Mus musculus: one gene and its partners. The protein of the gene in region 1 interacts with the protein of each later gene in a biochemical or structural test. Links are inferred from orthologs where the notes say so. Each region holds a gene or a part of one and is shown on either strand. Other genes may lie near its edges.

Region 1 (4,179 bases):
TCACAGATGCTCTCAGACCATGAGCTTTAACACCCATCCCTAGTCCTTCCCCATCAAAAGCCATCCAAAACTCTGACACTTTCCAAGTCTGCAATACCAAAATTAACCAGTTGACCAGGATCTGTTAATAGATACCTGCCACAAATTCCACAATTAAGCCACTGATCTCATTTCTACTGAAACTCCCCAAGTCAGTCACTTTAGCGGGAAGGCTGAAAGCAACCTGGATCATATCTGAAGTCATAGCCCAGTGTCAATGAGCAGCAAACTTTCCCAAAGATGACTGTCAAAGAACCTAACTTCCTAACTAACACATGCCCTTCGCATGTCCACTGAGCAAGTCTCTTCCAGTATCTGTCCAGAGGCAAAGATGGCCAATATGACCGGGGTCTGGGTTCTAGTGCAAACACCGTTATCTGCTCCCACATCTTCAGGGAAAACTATCAATCTTTTCTTAAACACAAGAAACTTTCCAAGAATTTCCACCATGATCACAGGTCTTACCCTAAGGCTCTGCCTGAAAGGACAAGCAGAAGTCTTAGTCCCCAACACACTGCCTTGGAACAGAAAAATCCAGGGAACTCCCTGCAAGGCCTCAGACTTAACGATGTATTTCCTCTTCTGAGCTGGAAAGCCCCAAAGCAGGCCCTCTGCCAACCCTGCCATGCATGCAGCCTTAGGGATGGATTCACACTGGTAAGGTCTGCAGAGAAAGGAGAGGGAGAAAGAAAGAGGAAGCTGAGGGCAGTGGTCCAGACTCCGGACCCACGAAGAGGGACAGCTATGACAGAGAGCTCTCCCCTTGCCTGCATGCAAACTGCCCTGCTGCTGTCAGACCCACAGCAAGCTCTGCGCTCACCTTTGAAGGTGGCACTACAGAGCACTTAGCAAACCTGAACATTCCTCTGAAGACTGAGGGGAACAAGGCGCCTTGCACTAGAGCAGCTGCCACAGCTCAGCTTGTGTGGGAGGGGGGACTCAAGGATGTGGCGAGGGGTGAAGGCATTGCAGAGGAGGTAGGAACCAAGGACTCGTCTCTGGAGTACTAAGTGGCCTGGCCTCGGGGAGAACGGAAGTGGACTAGACTGGAGAGGTCTGGACCACTGATGAGGTGGGGGAAGTGAGAACAAGACTGGGAGACAGACGTTTGGTCCCAGACAGGATTGAGGAATTTGCGACTTAAGGGTGGAGGCTGTAAGACAGAAGCGAGTGGGCGGGACTGAAAGATAAGTGAGGGCGGGATCAAGCAGGGACGGGGGCGTGGCTGAAAACAGTAGAGGGGGCGGAGCCAAGAGAGGAGAGGGGAAACTAGAGAGATGGAGATGAGGAGTGGGTGAGGCGGTGGGAGAGCAAAGAGAAGCAAGGCAAACGAGTAGGGGGTGGGATGATTCGAAGGGACCCAGAGAGAGAAGGGAGAAGGTAGATAATGTTCATGTGAGAGAGTGGGAAGAAAGAAAGGAGAGAGAGATGAAGTGATGAGAAGCTGCAAGGGAAAAGAGGGAGGGGACAGGCGGGAGGATGGTGAGGGGTGGGCCTAGAGGGGAACAGCAGGTAGAAGGAGGATGAGAGTGAAGAGATGGATGATGAAAATGTGAGGTAGGGGTGGAAAGAGCGGTGGAGGTGCAGCGAGGGGGCGGGATCTACATGAAGTTGAAAGGTGTGTGGCTATGTACAAGGCCTGAAGAAAAGCAGGCAGGGGGGTAGGTGTGGATCAGAGGGTGCTGGGGCGGTGTCAAGAGAGGACACTAGAGGGGACCGGTGGAGGGCCCCGAGGGGTGGTACCTATATGCAGCTGAGGGTAGGTGTGGGGCAGAAAGGAGAGGGGGGGGGGGAGTCCTGTAGTGGAGGAGCTAGGGGGCGGGACCTGATCCAGAAGGGTAAAGTTAGGGGCAGAGGGAGAAAGCTAGGGGGCGTGGCCCATATGCAACTGATGGTAGGTGTGGGCAGATAGAGTAGTGTGGGCAGGGGGGGATAGGCAAGAACCTGAAGAGAAAGGAGCCAGAGGCGGGGCCAAGAGAATCAGCCACAGGGGTGGAATCTATGATAGAGGGATGAACAGCAAGCCAGGCTTAATGCAGAAAAGGCAGCTGCCTGGGCCTGCAGAGCAAGCAGGGGGCGGGGAATGATGCAGAGGGAGGAGCCATAGGGCGGGTCGCCAAAGCTACAAAGTAGTCAAGGGGTGGAGCCTGTGAGGGGGAGGGGGAGTCTGCAGAAGAGTCGAGGGCTGAGCCTAGTTAAGGGGGCGAGTCTGCAGATCGGAGAGGCGTGGCTTGATGCAGAGGGAGGGCGGGGCTGCCGCAGCGGGGCGTGTCCTGATGTGCCAGGGGCGGGCCCTGATGCAGAGGGAGGGGACGGGGCGGCAGGGGCGGCGCCTGCAGAGCACCCGGGGGGCGGGGCCGGGAGCGCGAGCGAGGGGCGCACGCCGTAGGGGGTGCAGCGGTCCCGGGACAACGGCCGGTGCAAGGGGGGGGGGGGGGGAGGGGGCGGGGCGGGAGTCCGCAGGGTCCCTGGGACAGTCTAGGGGCGCGAGGGCCGCGGCCCTGTCGTGCCTACCTGTCAGACGGATCTTGATGCTGGAGCCGTTCCTACGGGTCCCGGGGTTCGACATCTCCCGCCAGCGGCCGGCCGGCCTCGGATCCAGTGCCGCCGCCCCCCAGCCCGGCCCGGCCCGGCCCCGCCGCCGCCTCAAGGTTACGGCCACGGGCTGGGCGCCGGGGTCCGAGCCGGGACGCCGAGTGCGCGGCGCAGGCGTTGGGCCGGAGACCACGGGCTGGAACCGTAGAACCGAGCGCTCGGCCGCGCCGCCGCCAGGAGCCGCCCCTGGCTGGCCCAGCCCGGAGCCGCCGCGCTCGCAGCCGGACGCCCGCCGCCCTCGCTGCTTCCGCCGCCGCCTCCCGAGCTGCGCGCGCCCGCCGCCTTGCCGGCCCGGCCCTGCGCGGCCTCGCGCTTGCGTGTGTGCGTGCGTGCGCGCGCCCGAGCACGGCGCTACGCGGACCGCGCTTGTCCTGGGCGCGCGCAAGGGGGTCTGGGGGAGCTGCAAGGTTCCTGCAGCCGGCGGGGAGCCTTGAAACAGACACCACCGTGGCCACCACCGCCCCACACACGTAGACGACACACACGCACACACAAGCGGCGCAGTCGGAGCTGGTTCTTAGTCACAATCTCAGAACCAACTGATTTGCTTGTGCGACGATTTGGGGGAACCGATTGTTTCTTCAGTGTCGGACTTTTCAAAGCTCCTGATGGAAGCCAGGGTGTTGCATGAAACCCCAAGAACCGTGCGCGCGTGCGCGCGTGGGTACACACTAGATCCTGCAAGTTCCAAGGGAAGACTTCCCGCAGTGATCGAGTGTCGGATGTGCCCTGTGCAACTGGTGTATTCGATTGACAAAGTGGCTAGACTCAGAGGAAGTGCGGCATATGGACCAGCTAAACAAGATGAAGGATGTAAATGGAGAGGTGGTGGTTTTGTGGATAGGAACCTGCATGCAACTGAACTAACCCAGAGAAGTAAGCAGTCGGGTTTTCGAGTCCCTGCCTTCTGATGAACCCACCCCCAAACCCCCAGAGTGTCAGGCCGGTAAAAAGTAAAAGCCGGGCTTTCTTTCCCCAGCAAGCAAACCAATCTCTATGGTAACGCATTCTAGAGAGGAAATAAAAGGTTCTTGAAAAGGCTGCGTATATTTACCAAACTCCCATCCGACCTGAACTTAATTCACTTCATGGGCAGACTCTATGGTTCTTCCTTAGAACCAGCTACCCACAGCGTTTGACCACCCTCTTTGGAGACAGGGGCTCATCTGTAGCTGAGGCTGACCTCAAAACTGTGATTCCCCCTACTCAGCCTCCGGAGCGCAGGGATTACAGGCTTGTACCTGTTCTTGTCCTAGGCAGTTTGGTTTTATGAGCCTGTGCAGCCCAGACTATTTAATAATGGAGGGAAAATATCTTAAGAATAGGATCGTGTATGGGCAACGGTTAATCCAGACTCTAACTCTGCTTCCATTTCTAAGCCGTTGTCGCTGAGAGCGAGACCCTAGGTTGGAATAAATCCATTTAGGAGTCTTTGATTGGTGTTGGGAGAATAGCACCATTGGTAAGGTGTTCGATGGTGCAAGCACAAGAAGCTAAGTTTTGTGAGGCTTTTTTTTAGATATTTCTGTTACCTATATAGGAGTG
Region 2 (3,613 bases), on another chromosome or scaffold:
TGCACTAAGAAGAAGCCTATGGCACCTGTCAAGTTAAATGTCACTCCCCGCCTCCACTTGGACTTTCTGCTTAAGACCTGCATGTGACTTTTCACCTGCGAGCCACGCTTTTGGTATCTACTGACTTTGATTACAGGAAAGTGTCTGAAGATTTGTATCAAATGACGTCAATGGCCAGCTTGTTTTCTTTCACTAGTCCAGCCGTGAAGCGATTGTTGGGCTGGAAACAAGGTGACGAGGAAGAGAAATGGGCAGAAAAGGCAGTGGATGCTTTAGTGAAAAAGCTGAAGAAGAAGAAGGGTGCTATGGAGGAGCTGGAGAAAGCCTTGAGCAGCCCAGGACAGCCAAGCAAGTGTGTCACGATCCCCAGGTCCTTGGATGGACGTCTGCAAGTTTCTCACAGGAAAGGCTTGCCCCATGTTATATATTGCCGTGTTTGGCGCTGGCCAGATTTGCAGAGCCATCACGAGCTAAAACCATTGGATATTTGTGAATTTCCTTTTGGATCTAAGCAAAAGGAAGTTTGTATCAATCCATACCACTATAAGAGAGTGGAGAGTCCAGGTAAGTTTCACTGTCCTAAGAATTAAAAGCATCAACTTGTCTCTTACCAATTGCATACAACTAGGCTTATTAGCGAAAAGGCTGTATCAACCTTTTTAAAGATTCCATTTTAGAAGGAATTCTAACTTTTCAATTTAGTTTTTGTGAACACCCCATGCCTGCTATTGATAAGCACTTTCTCTAGTAACACCCATTTCCTTTCTGCGGCCTACATGTTTCTGTCATGCTAAACACATGTTCCATATTCACACGAGGTCCTTCTCTCCTTCTCTCCTGTTTGTTTGGGAACTTTGTTGTCAAACACTGTCAATTTTTCTGGCTTTACAATTTTCTTCTCTTACATGTCTTTCACTAAATTATTTTTACTTTCTGCGCCTGTGTGTATGTGTATGTGTGTGTATGTGTGCGCGTGCATGTGCACACGCGCTTCTGTCATGGGACATATGGAGATCAGAGAACAAATCTTAGGAGTTGAGAGGGAGGCCTTTCCTTACTCATTTCTCATTCTTCAGTGCCTAGAATAATACTCTTTTCTAGGTACAGTGGTCAGTTTTTTGTTTTTGTGTTTGTTTTTGTTTTGTTTTGTTTTACAGTGAATTAATTACATAAGCTGATATCTTAGTCCTTTTATTGCTTCTTAGCAGACTATCACACAGACTGGATAAATTCACTCAACTGAAAAGAATTAAACGCAAAACCAACGTGTACCTCCCCAATTTGCATGTAATTAGGTTTACTAACTAAAAGGTTACTTTAGCCTTTGTTAAAGATTAACAATAGAAATCGTGGCGGGCAGAAAGTCCAGGATTAAGAGGCCAGAAGGTGAGGGTCTTGTAATAAACTCTCCTGTAGAACAGAAGAGTGGCATGGGTGTCAGTGAGCCGGAGAGGAGGGAGGGGAGCGAGGTGCACAAAGAAACCTACTTTTAGTTTTCCTTTGGTGCCAGCATCAAATCCAGTCTTGTGCATTTTAAGCAAGTACTCTACTGTGGAGCTACACCCTAGCCCAAGCAACCTGTTCGTGTAACAAAGAGTCCACCTCCACAATGACATCATCTCATTACTTCTGGTGAGAGCCCACCTCTCAACATTGCCACGTTTCCAGCTTGTGAACTTTGCAAGATAGATTCACCACAGCAGCTGAGATACAAGTTGGGTTCTTAGTTATTTTAGTTGCTACATAATAAATAGCCACACATGTGGTAGTTTAAACCCAAAACACATGTATTACCTTATATTTTCTGGGGGTCAGGCATTAGTCACTTTAGCAGCATCTTTTATGAGTTTCTAGTCAAGGTGTTGGTCAGGGCTGGGTTTACCTCGGGAGTCCAGATGTGACAAGATTTAGTTCCTGTACAGGGCATTGGATGCTTGCTGGTGATTGGCTGAAGACCGCCTTCATTTGCCTTTTTCCTCAGTAGGTCACCTGTATGTCTGCTCTTGCACTGCCATTCTCTCTCACAGTAGTAGATTTTCCTTCTACAGACTATCTCTGATAGCATGCATGCTTGTGATGATGGTAACGAGAGTTTTCCTGCAGGAGGGCAATGAATTCTTAAACGCTTCCCCATTACTTTGCCCATAATTCTGTTGGTTAGGAGCATGTCATAGGCCATATGCTGAAGGGGGGAGGTTTATCCAATTACATGACTACACAGACTCAGTCTTCCATACTGGAGGAATTGTAAGCCTTGAATAGTTGAATGTGGAGGCTAAAAGACTAGCAGTGACCTGAGTTATTGGTTAACATTAACCATGAACTTTAGAGCTGCTGCTCTATATGTGAGGTGGATCTCAGTTTCTTATGAAGCCCAAGGAGAGCTATAATATGAGGGAATTGAGGAAGAACAAGGCGGATTTAATGGAGGAATATTTTCTGAAAAATTCTCAAGCTAAGCATTTGCTAGCAATCCATCTAAGAATTGTATCTGTTCCTTCTCACTGTCAGCGTTTGAAGACAGTGGGCAGTAGAATGGTCTTCCTTTTAGTCCACCTTATCATTCCATATGAAGCACAGCAGTGGTTTGGAAATGCCTTGCTAGTTCACCTGATGGATAAATAAAACCTTCATGCTTGGCTGCAAGTCTACACCTCTCCTGGGGAAGGGGTAGCTTCACTCGGGAGGGCTAGCCTAGTTAGGGCTCCTTGACCAGCTAGGGACGGTAGGTGCCTCTCCTGGTCCTGTGCTAATAAAGGAGGTCGTTTGTGACTCTGGCTGCACTGAGCACTGGTGGACACGTGTGCTTTCCTAACTCTGGTACTCTCTTGTGTAGAGTTAGAGATGGAGAAAGCACCAACATCCCACAGCAATAAAGTCTATGTTTACTGTTGTAGACAAAGTAGCTAAGCCTTAACTTATACAAGAGTGCACAGAGTGGCATGAGGAAGTGTCACAGAGAGAAAAAGATAATAAAAGGTATGATGAGCATGAAAGTAAGGCCGGCGAGGTGTGCCAGTATCTGTTTGACTAGAAAGAATTATCTGTTGGCTGAGGTTATGAGTCCTGGGGTTATGATTTTACTATATATTTATTACCTGTAACCTCAGGCAAGTTAGAGAATCTTTCTGTGATTTAATGTCCTCTTCAGCTGGATAGTACGGCTACTAATGACCTTACAGAGTTGTCAGGGAGATTCGGTTAGTCAGTGTCTGTGTTAGTGCTTAAACATTATGTTCCCCAAGCTAGTTTGAAATGAAGGATCATTTCTCCAGAGAGATCCAAGTAGAGCATATGGGGAGTGGGCAGAGAGGAAGTGTTCACACACCCAGCTACTTAGAACTGAAAACTGCGAGAGTCATTCAAATAAACAGTGGAAAAGAACCACAGATGAAGTTCTACTTCGAGGGCTGATTTTGAAGGAAAGACCAGGCCTGTTGCTTCATTGAGGAGATGTTACCAGTTCAGTTCTCTAAGTGCTAAACATGAGCCCTCTTACTAACTTTGAGAGTGGTCAGCGTTGGGAATGTAGATTTCTCAGGGTTCCACGTACTGACCTCAACTCCCTCTGTAATCTTATATCTGTGTAGATCAGTGACTGTCTCTTCCTCTC
Region 3 (4,194 bases), on another chromosome or scaffold:
GAGCCACTGGCTCCCTGAAAAGGGGTGGAGACATGAGGGACCACTTCTCTCGTGGGGTACTCAAAATGTGAGGGCTAAGCTGGTGGTCAGAGCACCACAGGGAAAGAGAGGCTAGTGAGATTAAGGAGGGGAAAAGCCAGGGGACTGGACAGTGTTATGGGTGTGGGTGAGTCAGCCTGGGAGCTCCACTGAGCAGCCCAACCCCCAAATCCCAGACATTACCTCATCTTCCAGGCCTGGGCCCACAGCCAGCCCTAGCCCCTCCTTCCTCCCTCCACTCTGGGGTCAGGGGAGGGATAGCGGGCTGGCCCAATTTAGAAAAGACCACCCCACCCATCAGGGCCTAACTCACTCCAGGGCAGGACTCAGCGGGTGGCCCCACCCACAGGTTAAAGCTGCTGACAAAGGAGGCCAGGGGCCAGCAGGGGCCAGCAGAGTGCCCCCAAAAGGCAACATCTGCAGGGCCTTCCTTACCAATGAAGAAAACTTAAGACCTACACTACACTGGCCAGCACTTTCCCAGAGGGGAGGAAGAAACCCGTAGGATGTACGCGTGGGGGAAGGGTCTAGATAGCCCTTAGTCATCCTGCTGGTTGGAGCAGATTCCAAAGCAATTCCAGAGAAGGATTCTGGGAAGAACACAGCATGCATGCCTGCCTGCCCTGTCCACCATGTCTGGCTCCCACAGAGAGAACCAGCCTTGATACCCTACTCAGGCTGGGCAGTGCCTGGAAATTCTCAGGCCCCTTTGGGCTGGGCTTGCCCTGGGCTTCCTGCCAGCAGCTGCCTGCCTACACAGTGGCTGGGTGGGCCTCTCTAGGCAGGCGGATATCAGGGAAGGAAGTCCCTGCCCCCTTTTTGACCCCCTAGGCCAGTCAGAGATACCAAGCTGGAAGGCTGGGCACAAAGTTTGCTTTGAGTCCTACTGACACCAATGACTGAGGGCCAGGTAAGGGGCCTAGACTTAGGCCAGCCCTCTTGGGCTCTGTTGACTAGCCACTGCTGGCCATCCCAACTGGGGCCCGCATTCTTGGGCTTATAAGGTAATCCCCCTGCCTCAGGGAGGAGTCAGTTCCCAGCTCCACCCTCCTCACCAGGGTGGACTGAGGAATGGGAACAGGAATTCTACAGGCCAGCCTCACTACACCTAGGCTTGGGGTCAAAGGCCACACAGCCTGACTAGAGCCAGCTGACTGGGACTCAGTCCTCACACAGGGCGGGAAGAGTTCCCCGTTGGCCTTGACCGTACAGAGAGTACAAGCCGTTTTTGTGCCTCAGTTCAAACCCTTGCTCTGCAGTGGACTTACTGAATGGGCTCCTCCAGCCCACCAAGCTCTGTCACTTGGGGAAACAGGATGACAACTGCTATTCCTTGAATAACTGGAATTAAAGTTACATCCTGCTGGGGACCTGGCTCCACAGGCTGCTCTCCTAGCTAAGTAAGATACTTCTTGGAGACATCAGCCTCCAATACCGAAGGAACAGGCTCCCCCTTGTCACTCACAGATGGCTTGGTGGGAGAGCATCAAATACCATGTCAAAGTAGGGAAGTTGGGAGTGCCTCTCTACTCTCCACCTAGTTGGGAGTCCTGGTAGTTAAGTGTCCATTTGGACCTGGATACTCCTGCCTTATTGGTCCTGGCTTGCTCCTGCTGTTTCCTCCCATGATCCTCTGGAAACCTGAGCACCCAAGAACCCTTGGGGAGTTTGTTCCCCCACCTAGGCTCACCCGAGAGATAGAGAGGGGCACATTGAAGTCCTTGCCCCCTTGCAGACGGAAGCCCCAAGGGGCTGGCCCTTCCAGCACCACCTTGAAGGAATCCATCGTGCCTGCTCCTGTGAGGAAGAAGAGAAAGTGTCTGCAATGCAAATTGGCAGGCAGGTCCAGATCTGGGCACTAGCGTTGGCCAGGCACCAAGAAGGCACGGGCGGACGCTCAACACACACAGGCACTGGGAGGCAGGTATCTCAGCTGGCTTGGCTGGGCTCCTGGCAGGCCGACCTCTCACAGACAACAGACAAGGTGGTTCCCCACCCTGCCCCCTGCCACCGGGAGGGCCTGGAGAGGCCTCTCCGAGCTCAGGTGCTTTTCTCTTCCAGGGGTTGGCTGTGGGGCTAATTGGCACTGCTTTGCCCAAGCTAACCTGGAATCTCAGGAGGGTGGCGGGGTGAGTCAGGGGCCAGCTCCCCCTCCTTCCCCGGGTCCCGGCAGGCAGGCCGCCGCCGGAGCCTGCTCGGACTATATAAGGCGTGTAAGCTGACACTGTAGAGAGCCCGAGGAGGGAGCACGTTAGGGGCTCGGGATATGAGGGGGAGGGGTGGAGAAGGAGGACGCTGGAGCGGGTCCTAGCCATTTTGGGACAGGTCGAGGCTGCTGGTGGTCAGGGCGGGACCCCTGGTCTCTGAAAGGGGAAAAGAAAAACGGGGTACTGGTCCTGTAGAGAGCGACGGGGGCCGTGTCCCTTACGCACGGCCAGAGAGGGGATCCTTTCTGGAAGCCAGAGAAAGTGGTGCCACCCACGCACGATGCTCCCTTGCCAACATGACTCTGTTTCCCTTCGTCTCCCGCCCCAGCCCCGCGCTTGGCCGCGTCCCCACCGCACACAGTGGCGCAGGCGCCAATCAGCCCCACTTCGCCGCAGGAAGGCGGGGGCGGAGGCTGCGGCCGAAGCCAGCCGAGGGAATCTGGCACTCTTCACGACCACCCACGCCCTCCCCAGCGCCTCAGCGGGCCATAGGACCCCGTAGGGTGCAGGCCAGGAACCCCCTCGCGGACGCCGGTACCTGAGTGCCCGCCTGGGCCGCTGCCTGGCAGCCTCCGGGAGCAGCGATGGGATCCGCCGCTGCGCTCTGACCCCGCCTCCGCGGACGCCGCGCCTTTTGAGCCCGCGGAAGGGGGCGGAGCCCTAGGCCACGCCCTCCCCAGGCCAAACGAGTGGACATCCCGGGGTCGGTGGGAGGCCCCACCCAGTCAAAAAACCCTGAGTCTCCAGGAGAGGGAAGGTGAGATCGGGCACTTACCCTCGCCAGTCGGGTCGCTGCCCAGCCTGTGCCCCGCTTCAGGCTCTCGCCCAAGCCCCTTGCGCCTCCCACTGGCGGAGTGGAGGAAAGCATCCGTTTGAAACCCCAGAGTTGATTGATCTCTCACCGTATTCTCTTGTAGAGGAAAATGGCATGGTAACACTTTTCTGTTAGGGATACTGTTAGAGGTCAATATTGTCAGCATCATCAGATTTCAGATTCTCTAGGAACTGGAGAAGCGAGATAGGGTAGTTTCAAGTTAGGCTTCCTGGTGTTCGGGATGTAGCTTAGTGGTGGAGCTCAGTAGCTAAGCTCTCTGGAGGCCCTTGTTTCAGTCCTCAACACCAAACCCAACCAAAGGCTTGCAGGATATAACAAACAAGTAAATACATACATAGTAAGAGCCAACGGGGGCGGGCTTAGCGCCACTTGTTGTCTGACGGTGTAAGTAGAGTCCACAGCCATGGGACTTCCACCCAGAGCCCCCAGAACCACTATTGGAATGGATTGTTTCCCATTTAACCCCAGTCCAGAGTACACAGTTCTTCCAATGCGGTTGGGATGGAAGGGGCTGCCACGGAGTGTTCTCAGAGCCCCTGCTTTAGCCTCGGTCTTAGCCAAGGGTGGGCAGAAGGAAAAGCTGAGCTCTCCTGAATGTTTGAGTCAGTAGAGAGGTGCACAGCCTCCCCTTGCCCAGCCCCCCCATCATCACACCCCCTCTTCCCCATCATTGTCCCAAGTACATAAATTCTTATGGGAGTTGTCATCCTTGAAGAAATCCTCTTCAGGTGGGTCTCTGAGTTCAAGGCCAGACTGACTGATCTATGTAGTGAGTTCCAGGACAGCCAAGGCTACACAGAGAAACCGTGTCTCGAAAAACTGAAGAAAAAAAAAAACCAAAAAAACAAAACCACCCTCTTTAGCTATCTGCTATGCTTCTGTCTCCATCACGTTTCCCTCTTTGTCCCTCGTCCCCTATACTATTGACTCTTTCTCCAGGTCTTCTATGACCTCAATTAAGTCAGCTGCAGCCTTCAGGTTTCATCCTGTTCTGACAGGAATGCTGGTCTACACCAGGTTGATCAGGGGTTTTTTCTTTTTCCATTCCTTCATTTCTATCTTCTTCTTCCCACCCCCACCCCCCCAGATACAGCGCCTTCTTCTGACCTCTCT

What was found.
Region 2: of the proteins of Smurf1 (region 1) and Smad5, one has a biochemical effect on the other in vitro, tested with the Homo sapiens proteins (3 studies listed by BioGRID, with this or other methods). The link is inferred for Mus musculus from reciprocal best matches to the Homo sapiens genes SMURF1 and SMAD5.
Region 3: the proteins of Smurf1 (region 1) and Pdlim7 are reported together in a solved structure, tested with the Homo sapiens proteins (2 studies listed by BioGRID, with this or other methods). The link is inferred for Mus musculus from reciprocal best matches to the Homo sapiens genes SMURF1 and PDLIM7.

Annotation. Positions count from the first base shown.
Region 1 is NC_000071.6:144,962,948-144,967,126, forward strand, and holds the start of Smurf1 (E3 ubiquitin-protein ligase SMURF1), read right to left. Parts: upstream 2,884-4,179; 5' UTR 2,609-2,883; coding exon 2,554-2,608; intron 1-2,553. UniProt on the Homo sapiens protein: E3 ubiquitin-protein ligase that acts as a negative regulator of BMP signaling pathway. Mediates ubiquitination and degradation of SMAD1 and SMAD5, 2 receptor-regulated SMADs specific for the BMP pathway.
Region 2 is NC_000079.6:56,723,433-56,727,045, forward strand, and holds part of Smad5 (mothers against decapentaplegic homolog 5), read left to right. Parts: 5' UTR 1-161; coding exon 162-564; intron 565-3,613. UniProt on the Homo sapiens protein: Transcriptional regulator that plays a role in various cellular processes including embryonic development, cell differentiation, angiogenesis and tissue homeostasis.
Region 3 is NC_000079.6:55,510,583-55,514,776, forward strand, and holds the start of Pdlim7 (PDZ and LIM domain protein 7), read right to left. Parts: upstream 2,865-4,194; 5' UTR 2,785-2,864; intron 1,837-2,784; 5' UTR 1,826-1,836; coding exon 1,730-1,825; intron 1-1,729. UniProt on the Homo sapiens protein: May function as a scaffold on which the coordinated assembly of proteins can occur. May play a role as an adapter that, via its PDZ domain, localizes LIM-binding proteins to actin filaments of both skeletal muscle and nonmuscle tissues.